Linked DNA regions of Sus scrofa. The protein of the gene in region 3 interacts with the protein of the main gene of each other region in a pairwise test. Links are inferred from orthologs where the notes say so. Each region holds a gene or a part of one and is shown on either strand. Other genes may lie near its edges.

What was found.
Region 1: the proteins of EXOC5 (region 3) and DEUP1 interact in binary tests that used the Homo sapiens proteins (3 or more experiments, as listed by UniProt). The two-hybrid records come from large-scale screens. The link is inferred for Sus scrofa from reciprocal best matches to the Homo sapiens genes EXOC5 and DEUP1.
Region 2: the proteins of EXOC5 (region 3) and RAB4B interact in binary tests that used the Homo sapiens proteins (3 or more experiments, as listed by UniProt). The two-hybrid records come from large-scale screens. The link is inferred for Sus scrofa from reciprocal best matches to the Homo sapiens genes EXOC5 and RAB4B.

The regions. Positions count from the first base shown.
Region 1 is NC_010451.4:25,831,265-25,834,913, reverse strand, and holds part of DEUP1 (deuterosome assembly protein 1), read right to left. Parts: intron 3,022-3,649; coding exon 2,908-3,021; intron 967-2,907; coding exon 724-966; intron 1-723. UniProt on the Homo sapiens protein: Key structural component of the deuterosome, a structure that promotes de novo centriole amplification in multiciliated cells.
Region 2 is NC_010448.4:48,987,576-48,991,947, forward strand, and holds the start of RAB4B (ras-related protein Rab-4B), read left to right. Parts: upstream 1-1,504; 5' UTR 1,505-1,745; coding exon 1,746-1,761; intron 1,762-3,204; coding exon 3,205-3,285; exon of another isoform or gene 3,286-3,569; coding exon 3,570-3,684; intron 3,685-4,372. Other genes in the region: MIA (melanoma-derived growth regulatory protein), read left to right, coding at 176-361. UniProt on the Homo sapiens protein: The small GTPases Rab are key regulators of intracellular membrane trafficking, from the formation of transport vesicles to their fusion with membranes.
Region 3 is NC_010443.5:186,399,161-186,402,809, reverse strand, and holds part of EXOC5 (exocyst complex component 5), read left to right. Parts: intron 1-776; coding exon 777-924; intron 925-3,649. UniProt on the Homo sapiens protein: Component of the exocyst complex involved in the docking of exocytic vesicles with fusion sites on the plasma membrane.

The DNA.
Region 1 (3,649 bases), on a different chromosome or scaffold from region 3:
ATGAAAAGGTTAAAGCTGATATATCACAGGGAATGCCTCCCCTGGTCCCCACTGAGGTTATCAGATTGTCGAACCTTAAATGATTTCCTGGATCTTCATCCTAGGATTCCTGAGTCCAAGAGGCACAGGGTCAAAGAGAATGAATGATGGGGACACAGGGTGCTGTGTGGCTAAAGGGCTAGGTTTTTTAGGACTAGAGGTCTGTGAGCGACCACTGTTACACTGCACTGGCAAGATACTATTACACCACTGCAGAACACAAGTGCACCTGTTGGAGTAAAGTACCCACAGGATTACTAAGTTTACTCATCAAATGAGAGCTACTTGGTAAGAGAAAAGATAAGCTGAATTTATACATGTAGGAGTTCCCATCGTGGCTCAGGGGTTAACGAATCCTACCAGGAACCATAAGGTTGCAGGTTCAATCCCTGGCCTTGCTCAGTGGGTTAAGGATCTGGCTTCACTGCGAGTTGTGGTGTAGGTTGCAGACGTGGCTCGGATCTGGCGTTGCTGTGGCTCTGGCACAGGCCGGCCGCTAACAGCTTCAATTACATCCCTAGCCTGGGCACCTCCCTATGCCGCAGGTGCAGCCCTAGAAAAGACCAAAAAAAAAAAAATTATACATGTAATAAAAAATTAGCTTTCTATTCCATATACCTGTTGGGTCATCATTTATACAACTCATGGGCAGTTATCAATTAAAAATAAAAATAAATCTTTTACCTGGCACTGTCTTTGGTACATTTTCAGTTCTTGTAAGAGCTTCTGATTTTCATCTTGTAGCTTATTCCTGCTTAATGCTATTTCACTCACAGCTGATTTTAATTTTTCAATAATGAACTCATCTCTTTCAGTGGTTTCACAACTGTGATCTGGTTCACATAGCAACTGAGGAATTTCAGAGCTGCTGTCTTCCATGCCCTGTTTTTTACCATTTAGTTGAGTTTGGTAACTTTGTGCCTGTTTCTGAGAAATATGAAAATTGTGTCAGTTGAGTGGGGAATACAACACTTAAGCTTACATAAAGTTCAAGAATGATAGAGAAGAATTAGGAAAAAACATTTATATTATTAATGAAACTGTTCTTCATAATTCAGTCTTGTGTTTATTCTAAAACTTCAATTTCAGAGGGCATAAAGAGAATATATATTTGCATAAACTCAGAGCAAATATGTAGAGTAGGGTAGAGGACTTTGGGTAGGGAATTCTTATTTAGCGAAAAAGAAAATAGAGAAGATATTTAAAAAGGGGGGAAAATATGGATTCTATTACACAATAGTTGAAAATGTCTCTATGGCCAAAAAAATAAATAAATAAAATAACAAACAAGAAAACACGATGGACTGTAGGAAAAAGTTGTCAACACCTGTAACAAGGGTAACTTCTGGTACACAAAAACTTCTAAGAAAAAGACAACGCAAGAGAAAAGTGGACAATATTTATGCACAGGCAATTCACAGAAGAGAAAATGAAAAAGTCTAGAAACACATGAAGAGATGCTCAACATCACAAGCAGTCAGAGAAACACAAAGCGAATCAAGCCAACATTACTCTTGGTCCATCAGGTTGGTAAAAATCAAAGGACTGATCTTCTGGTGAGAGTCTGGGTAGTTTTGCTGGCTGTTGAGAAACTAAATTACTAACTTCTTTTAGGAAGTCATCTGCCAATATTTATTAAAAATCTGATTGGCCCACTTTCCATTGCCCGAATTTGCACTTGCTCTCTTGCCTCAGCAGCTTTGCTAACGTTATTTCCACCACCTGGAATACGTTCTCTCTTAGAACATATCCTTCCTTCAAGATCCTGGCCTAGTCCCACCCCTGCTGGAGGATGTTTCCTAAATCCAAATTTTTCTCACTCCTTCCACCTCTAAAAGGATTTGGATCCTTTCCTTTCACTTGTCATTAATTATCTGTAAACCTGTACATGTGTTATGTCTGTGTCTAGACTAAGCTTCTAGGGGGCAGGGACCAAGCAAATTTAAGACTTTCTAAGAGACTTGATCATAGGCATGCAAAAACATGTTATTTAATGACATAATAACAATGGACCTTTTTTTTTTTTTTGGTCTTTTTAGGGCTGACCCGCAGTACATGGAGGTTCCTAGGTGAGGGGTCGAGTCAGAGCTATAGCTGCCAGCCTACACCACAGCCACACCAGATCCTTCACCCACTGAGTAAGGTCAGGGATCAAACCCGTGTCCTCACGGATACTACTCAGGTTTGTTACCACTGAGCCATGATGGGAACTCCACAATGAACACTTTTGAATTGAAGTATCATTGATTTACAATGTTGTGTTAATTTCTGCTGTATAGCAAAGTGATTTCTTTTTAAATATTCTTTTCCATTATGGTTTATCATAGTACACTGAACACAGTTCTGAGCTGTACAGTAGGACCTGTTTATCCCCTCCATTTATAATAGCTTCTATCTGCTACCTCAATATCCTACTCCATTCCTTCCCCAACCCCTCCCGTGGCAACCACAAGTCTGTTCTCTTTGTCCGTGAGTCCGGTTCTGTTTCATGGATAGGTTCATCTGTGTCACATTTTAGATTCCTCATGTAAGTGATATCATGTAGTATTTGTCTTTCTCCGTCTGACTTCCTTTACTTAGTATGATAATCACTAGCTGCATCACATGTTGCTGTGAATGGCATTATTTAATTCTTTTTATGGCTGAGTGGTATTCCAACAATGGACATTTTTAATAAAACCATCTTCTGAGACATACAGACTAAAGTCACCATTACAGACATTTCACACCCTTGTAAACTCTACCCAGTGTTGGAACTACTCATTATTTTCCCTTAGTTGGCATTTCTATCTGCAGAATGGTAAAGAGGAATAATAGTATTTAACCTCTAATTTATTCTAATTTAGAGGATAGTATTAGATAATGTACCTGAAATTGATTACACTTCTCAGATAACAATTTTTGTTGAGCATCTACAGAAACCAGATGAGTCTGATATAATATCTCCTGCTTGTCCCATTCTCTTGACTTTGCTCTAAATTCCTTTTAAAAAAGTGGAAAGATAAATTGAAAAAATTATTCATTCCAAAGTACAGTGAACGAGGCTTCTTTCATTTGTACATCTTTCTTCTGAAGAAAAAAAAAATCCACCTTTCCCCATTAGGAGAACAAAAAGTATCAAATCACTCACTCTGGATTTACTAATTTATCTTCTAATTTTTGCTAGGAAAGTATGGGATTTAATTCATATTTTTAAAAAATAAGCACTTGTTAAAGATGCAAAAATTTTTAACAAACGCTGTTTACTAAGAAGGGAGTTGCATCAATCAACACTTCCTTTCTATTTCCTCAGCTGATATCCAAAGTTTTTCCCATCTTTTATTCTCTACACTCAGTCACCAAACCTGCTCTCTTGCTTTTGAGGGGGTGGGGCTTGGACTAATTTAGTGACTTTGTCCCCTGTGGCTTTCAAAGCTACTGTCCCAGGTGAAGCCAGATCAACCCATCAACAGAACAACCACCTCAGGGCTCCTTTAAGCAGCACCTACTGGGCTAAGCTGGGGAGGAAGTGGTAGAACTGCTTGATACAGCAGGCTTCTTGATTTTTGTCTAGGGCTGGCCATTATACCTTATCTTTCTGTTCAGACTGGAAGCAATTGAAGGGTAAGGA
Region 2 (4,372 bases), on a different chromosome or scaffold from region 3:
TGGCTGACTAATTCACATGGGGTGGTCAGGAAGGACCTTCAAGCAGGTGACTTTAACTAAAATTGGAATGACAAGGATGGAACCAGCCAAGTAGAGATCAGAGAGAAGAGCGTGCAGAGGTCTTCAGCAGGAATGAATCTTCCCAGGCACTTGGCTTTTCCCTCCTCTTCCCCAGGTTCAGGGAGATTACTATGGAGACTTTGCTGCACGCCTAGGCTATTTCCCCAGTAGCGTTGTACGTGAAAACCAGACCCTGAAACCTGGCAAAATCGTTGTGAAGACAGATGTGAGTGTCCTGGAGGCTAACAGGGATCTGGACCCTTGGGTTGTGATGATGGGCAAAAGTGCAGCCTATCTATGAGCTGGGACAATTCCCTGCCTTTCCTTCCTTCCTTCCTCCCTCCCTCCCTCCCTCCCTCACTCCTTCCCTCCTTCCCTCTTTGCTTCCTTCCTTCCGAAGTTCCCTGGCCAGGGATCAAGCCCCCGCCAAAGCAGCCACCCAAGCTGCTGCAGTGACAACAACAGATCCTTAACCCACTGTGCCACAAATGAACTCCTCCCTGCCTTTTCTAATCTGTTAAATGGTGAGTGATGTCTAAGTCCTAGTCCAGTTAAGAGGTGCAAAGATTAGAGGGCCCTAGGCTAATTTGCATAGCACTTGGGTGGACAAACCTGGCGTCTACAGCTGCAACATTTGCTAAAACCATTAGATCCTTTGTGGTGTGACTGCTGTTTTCCCCCCACTGTTTCCCTTTTTTGTTTTTCAGAAATGGGATTTCTACTGCCAATAAGCTCAGTCTACTGCTGTCTCTGCAGTTGTTTCTCGCCGGCTTTATGCAAATACATCAGCCAAATGCCAACTATTGGGTCTCTGTGGTCTTTGTGGTAGGGACCTAGAAAGGAAATGTTTCTCCAGGTTTCTGAATCTAGCCAGTCAACCCACGGAATGTAGTAATGTCAGTGGTTGCTAGGCAGAGTTTCACGGACTAAAAGCTCTTAGCTCCAAGCTGGGTACCAGAGGTAGGCTCCTCAGCTTAGATATCACAGGCAAATAAGACGGAATAACCTAAACAGACAAATTAGGGAATTGTAGTGTCCTCTCTTGACCAGTAAGAGAACTAGTGAACTATTGGGAATGAGCCAATCGGGCAATGAGGAAGTAATCGCGGGGCATATGTTTTTTTGGAAGATTGTTGGTCAAAGGAGGTAGGAGTAAGAACCATCCCAGTTTTCATCCTTCTGCCTTTGAGATCAGTACTCCCAAGCTCGAGATCGGCACCTCTTCCAGGCTCTGTCAATCTTAACCCTGCCCCTTTCTTTGCATCCGTATCCCCGCCCCCAAGTCAGCTTCTACCCAATCTGGAATCTCAGGTCTGCTCCTGGTCTCCTGACCGAAGCCATTTCTCTGCTCCACGGAGCAACTCTGCACCACCCCTTCCCACTGACGCCGCCAATCGCTCGCCCTGGTCCCGCCCCTTTACGTCCCGCCTCTCTCGCCCCGCCATTCTGCGCCTTTTGTCCCGCCCCTTGCCCGCCGAATCCGCCAATCCCTGTCTTCGGGAAGCGTGGCCTGGTATCCCGCAGCCTTAGCGGGTCGCGCCGGAGGGGGGTGGAGGCGGAAGCGACGGCGCCGGCCCCGGGAGTAGGAAGGAGCCGGGGCTGCAGACCGAGTGGAGCGGCTGCCAACCGAGGACCAGGAGCGGCCGCGTCGCCATTTTGCGGCCCTAAGCGGCCGCGACCGAGTCATGGCTGAGACCTACGGTGAGGGTGGTGGGCGGAAGCGGGAGTCTGGGGTCTGGGCCCAGGGAGATGCGGCCTGTGGGTATGGGGCGGGGCTTTGTATTACCAGGGGGCGGGGTCTGGTTGTATGGGGCAGGGCCTAGTGGATGCTGGGAGGGGTTTAGTGAATCTGAGGCTGAGCTTAATAGGTTTGGGCGGAGCCTGAGCGTCTGGTGTGTGGGCGAAATAGACGTGGGGCGGGTTTGGGGAACCCAGTCGCGATAGATCGTGGAGGTCTTGAGGAAATGGGTGGGCCTTAATGTGTCGGGGCGGGGCCTGAGTGAATGGGGCGGGGCTGACTGAATAACAAGAATCAAGCTTGAAGGCCTGGAAGGACTGTGAAAGGATGTTCTGCGAGGTGTCTGGAATGTGGTTGGGGGTGAGCTGTCCTTGAGCTAGGGGGTGGGGCTAGTGGCAAGGGGTGGGACTTGAGAATAGGGGCCTTGGGCAGAGAACGGGAAGGAGATCCTGAGCGTTGGAAAATCCAGAAGGATGGGTAGGACGTGGGAGAACAGAATATGGTAGAGAGAACTCTGGTGTGGGAGTCAGAGGGAGCTGCATTCATTCAACAGAGAAAAGCAGAAGGAACAAGTCCTTGAGGTAAGAACCAGCTCGTCTCTTCAGGGAGTAGACTGAAGGCCAGTGGCAAGAGTGGAGTGAATGAATAAGAAAGTGATAGGAGATGAAATCATGGGGTGCAGCGAGGGGAGGCTGAGTCTGATAAAGTGGTTTTCAAGAGGCTTTAGCAGGAGTTCCCGCTGTGGCTCAGAGTGTTAAGATCCCGACTAATATCCATGAGGATGCTGGTTTGATCCCTGGCCTCACTCAGTAAGTTAAGGACCTGGTGTTGCCACAAGCTGTGGTGTAGGTTGCAGATGCAGCTCAAATCCCAGGTGGCTGTGGCTGTGGCTGTGGCTGTGGCCAGCAGCTGCAGCTCTGATTAGACCGCTAGCCTGGGGACTTCCATATGCTGCAGGTGTGTCCCTAAAAAGACAAAAAAGAAAAAAAAAAAAGGCTTAACAGTGTAATAGCTGAGATTTTGGACTCTGGAGCCAGTTGGCCCGGGTTCGAATCCTAGCTCTACCTTGCCAGCTCTACCTAGCAGTGGGATCTTGGGCAAGTCAGTAACCTTTCTGGCTTTAGATTCCTCATCTGGTTACAGGGGTGATTATTAGTACAACTTCCTCATAGAGTTTTGCCGAGGATTAAGTTGAGGTCTTGATGTAAGTAAAGACTTGTAGAAGGGTTCCTGGTATGCGGGAAGCACTGTGTAAGAATTATCTCTTACTGCTTTGTTACCCATTGTTCTATATCTGCCTGTGTCTGTTGCTCTCCCTGTAATTGTGATGCTCTCTTGGTTTCCATTTTTTCATGTCTATCTTTCTCTCCACATGGGTTTCCTTGAATTTGGCTCCATCCACTCAGACTTCCTCTTCAAATTCCTGGTGATTGGCAGTGCGGGTACTGGCAAGTCATGTCTCCTTCATCAGTTCATTGAGAATAAGTGTGAGTTCCTGGGGGTGGTCCTGGAACACTAAACTGCGGGCATGGGCACGGTGTGGGCAAAGTAGGCAGCTGTTGGGGTGGGTAGGTGGCAGGACTGGCCATAGGTGCAATGCCAGTGCTGGCTACCTGGTCCTCACCTTGGTGTATGTGCTTTGCTAGGCCCTCCTTGAGCCTCAGTCACCCCAGCAATGAGAGAGGATGGGTTCATAGGGGCTGGGGAGGTCTTGGAGGGCAGGGAATCCTCTGAGCCCCTGCACTGTCTCTTTTCTCCCTCCCACTCCCAGTCAAACAGGACTCCAACCACACAATCGGCGTGGAGTTTGGATCTCGGGTGGTCAACGTGGGTGGGAAGACTGTGAAGCTACAGATTTGGGACACAGCCGGCCAGGAGCGGTTTCGGTAGGTGGGCTGGGCTCCTTGGGAGAGATGGGAGGGGAGGGGAGGGAGAGAGGCGTGCAGAGCATGTGATAAGAGCAAGGACACACAGAGAGGGCAGGCAAGGTAGAGGGAGGGAGAAAGAGATGGTGAGGAGCAGGTACATGGGGTCAGAGAAAGAAGGGGTCTGGGAGAGAGGAAGGCAGAGACACAGAGAAAGATTGAGAAAGCAGCATAATGAATGAAGGGTGAGAGCGCTCGGGAGGGACACCTGACCCTGCGGAGACTATGAGGGGTAGACCCCTGCGGCTGGAGGAACGAACCTATCCCAGGGAACAAGGCCTGGAGAGAAGGAGGTGCTTGGGGTGGGGCGAGGGCTCGAGGTTGACAGGATGCCTAGAACAGAAAGGGAGACTTGAGAGAGAGCTACAGACACTCAGAAAGGGAGAGAGAGGCGTTCCCACTGTGGTGCAGCCTAAATTAGTCCGAGGATCCACGAGGATGTGGGTTCCATCCCTGGCCTTACTCAGTGGGTTAAGGATCTGGTGTTGCCGTAGCTGGAGGTTAGGTTGCGACTTCGGCTTGGATGTGATCCCTGACCAGGGGTCTCCCTATGCCGCGGGGTGGCCAAAAAACAGAAAAGAGAGGCTCAGCCAGAGGCGGGCAGCTAAGTGAGGGAAATGCCCAGCGGGAGAAGGTGGGGTGAGACCAG
Region 3 (3,649 bases):
GATTAGGAATAAGTATGGAAAGTAAAACAGAAAAACTATAGGACAGTAATAAGAATTTGTTTAAAAAATTAGTTCATAGTCCGGAGCTATATTTTCTAGGAACAAAAAGGATTCTAACCTAAAGATACCACCATAAGAGTTTCCTTGTGGTGCAACAGTTTAGGGATCCGACATTGTCACTGCAGTGACTCAGATCACTGCTGTGGCATGGGTTTGAACCTGACCTGGGAACTTCCGCATGTCGTGGGTGCAGCCAAAAAGTAAATTGGTTAAAGATACCACCATATAATAAATGTTCTTAATGACCCTTCATCATTGAGAAAAGCTAAATTATGTAGAATGTATCTTGTTTGATAATGAGAAATGCATGTGTATTTAAATGGCAGGTATATTTTAAAAGCTTTAAAATTTTAAAGTTTGTTTTAAGCAGGACCATTTAGTTATCAGAATAGTAACTTACTCGGAAAAGCCCGCTTACTAAGGAAACCAAACAAAGAGCTTTGGCTGTTGAGTCAGAATTACAGAGCTGAAAGAGACTGTAGAGATCATAACTCCAAATCTACTCCTTTTTTCAGATGAAAGTCTTCTGTTTAGAGATTAATGTTTGTTTCACTATAGAGAACCTACTTATTGAAATTAGAACTCATAGGTATCCTGGCTATTCATTCATTTTTCCTTCTTTTTTTTAGTTCATGTATACTAAACTTGGGAGTACTTGAAATTGAAATCTATGTATTATAAAGTGTTCTTTTTCATTTGTTGGTATGATGCACTAGTATTCAAGATTTGAAAGAGAGAATTAGACAACGTACCAACTTACCACTGGGGCCAAGTATCGATACTCATGGGGAGACTTTCCTATCTCAAGAAGTGGTGGTTAATCTTTTACAAGAAACCAAACAAGCCTTTGAAAGATGTCATAGGGTAAGAGTAATGGTAAAATTGTAACTGTAAATCAGTTTTATTTATATATAGTTGTGTATTTTAATTTTTGCCTTCTTTATACTAAGATGTAACTCTGCTCTCTGGTTAGGAACAATTATTTATTGTAATAAAATAAAATTTTTGTTTTGGAGAACAGAATTAGTTTTAACTTACTTAGAAGTATATTACAAGTTATAAAAAATGTATTATTTTAAAGTTGAGCAAATCAAATTTTCTTTTTTTGAGATATTAAATCAAGATATGAAGGGGGAGAGATTAGACCTATCTCATAAAGAAATAGAGCATTAGGGAGAAAAGGATGTTTTAAGAACACAGATATCAAAGGAGATGGAAAAATTGACTCCATTAAAATTTAGAGTTTCTTCGCCAAACACACTTTAACAAAGTAAACAGGTAAGTCACAGCCTACCAGAAGGTGTTTATAACCAATATTACTAGCAGAAGATTTTTGAGACAGATAATAGTGACTAATAATTATAGACCACATACTATGTTCCAGACACTCTTCTAAGCATTTTAGTATGTATTAACTCATTTAATCATTGTAGCAAACCTATGAGGTTGTTATTCTTATTTTACAGAGGAAAATACTGGGATGCATCCTTTTAAGTATGGAATTGAGAGTTGAGGCAGTCTTAATTTTTATATGTATTGATGTATATGGTGTATATATTTATATTGATGGATAATAAATCAATGTAGTTATACATATAATTAAATAGAAAACAAATCAAAGACTATACAAATGCAGAAAATGTAAATTATCAGAAGATAATCAGTCTATTAAGGAAATGAAACTTTTTTTTTTACTTTTTTTTTTTTTTAAGGGCCACACCCACAGCATATGGAGCTATAGCCACTGGCCTACTCTAAAGCCACAGCAAGGCCAGATCCGACCCACATCTGTGACCCACACCACAGCTCATGGCAATGCCAGATCCTTAACCCACTGAGTGAGGTCAGGGATTGAACCTGGGTCCTCATGGATAGTAGTCAGATTTTTGTTTTTGCTGAGCCATGATGGGAACTCTGGGTAATGAAACTTAAAATAGGAAAATACTATGTCATTCTCATTAGGTTGGCAAAAATTAAGAGGCCTGTTGATTCTAAGTATTGGTAAGGATTGACACAATAGAAATTCTCATACATTGCCGATGGAAGTAAAAATTGGCATGCTTTGGAGAGTAATTTGTTAATTCCTTAGAGAAACTCATAGGTGCACATGACATATCAAACATGGAAAGCAACGTTGTTTGTCATGGTGAAAAATTAGAAGCAAACTGTGCCTTATAGAGAATTGACAAACTGAAGTTGTTCATACAGTAGAAAACTATACACCAACATGTATCAGCATGAGTAAATTTCAAATGTTGAATGAGAAGATTAAGATGGGGAAAAGATATGTTCAGTATACCACAATATAAAGTTTTAAAAAGTAAAACAAGGAGTTTCCTTATAGTGTTAACTATCTGGCATTGTCACTGCAGTGGCCTGGGTCACTTTTGTGGTGTGGGTTTGACCCCTGGCCCAGAAACTTCCACATGCTGCTGGTGTGACCAAAAATAAAATAAAATAATAAAAGGTGAAACAGTGTGTTGTTTAGGGGTATACATGAGCATGGGTGTGATAAACAACTTCAGAGTAGTGGCATAGTAGGTTAAGGATCTGGTGTTGTCTCTACTATGGCTTGGTGCCATAGGTTTGGTCCCTAGCCTGGATGCTTTGGATGGGCCTGGAAAAAAAGACATGGGGAGAGTAATGAGATGGGAGGTTGAAATGTAGGCAACAACTCTTTGTATACCATACTTAGAAACTTGAACTTGACCTTATAGATGATGATGGAAGCTTAAAGGATATTAAAAAGATTAGGTTTTTTTCCTTTCTTTTTCAAAACTTAGTAACTTTGAGATACAGTTTGACAATCATTAAACTGCATATATTTAAACTATACAGTTTGATAACTTTGGTAAATTATGTGTACATTTGTGAAGCTATAAATGCACTCGAGATCAGATCTATCACCCCAAAAATTTCCTTTTGCCCTTTTAAAATCTTCCTGCCCCCTCCCACTGGGTCTGTCCTCAGGCAACTACTGATCTGTTCACTGTAGATTAATTTTGAAAAAGAAGGGGGATACTTCAGGACTGAGTATTCAAAGCTAAATAGGATGTTTACAAGAAATTGATTGTTTTTCTAGAATTTTTAATAAATGGGATTAAAATATCCATAATTTACACATGTGTTTCTAGATTCTTTAACTCAGCATTATTATTTTGAGATTCATTCATGTTGTGTGTATTAATTAGTATTTTTTTATTGCTGATTTCTACTTAATTTTGTGAATGTACCACAATTTGTGTATTCATTTACCTATTGATAGCAGTTTAGATTAGCTCTAGTGTTGTTACAAATGAAGTTGTTATGAACATTCATATATATATCTTTATGCAAACATACTGTCATTTCTCATGAGTAGCAATATGATGTCATATTATTATTCTTTTATGAAACTGCCAAACTGTTTTCCAAAGTTGTTTCATTTAACATTCCACCAGCAGTGTGTTAGAGTTCTGTTTGTTCCACATGATTTCCAGCATTTGGTATCATTAGTCTTTTTAGTTTTAGACAGTCCAATAGAGTGTGTAATGATACCTTATTATGGTTTTAGTTTGCATTTTCCTAGTGACTGAAGATGAGCATCTTT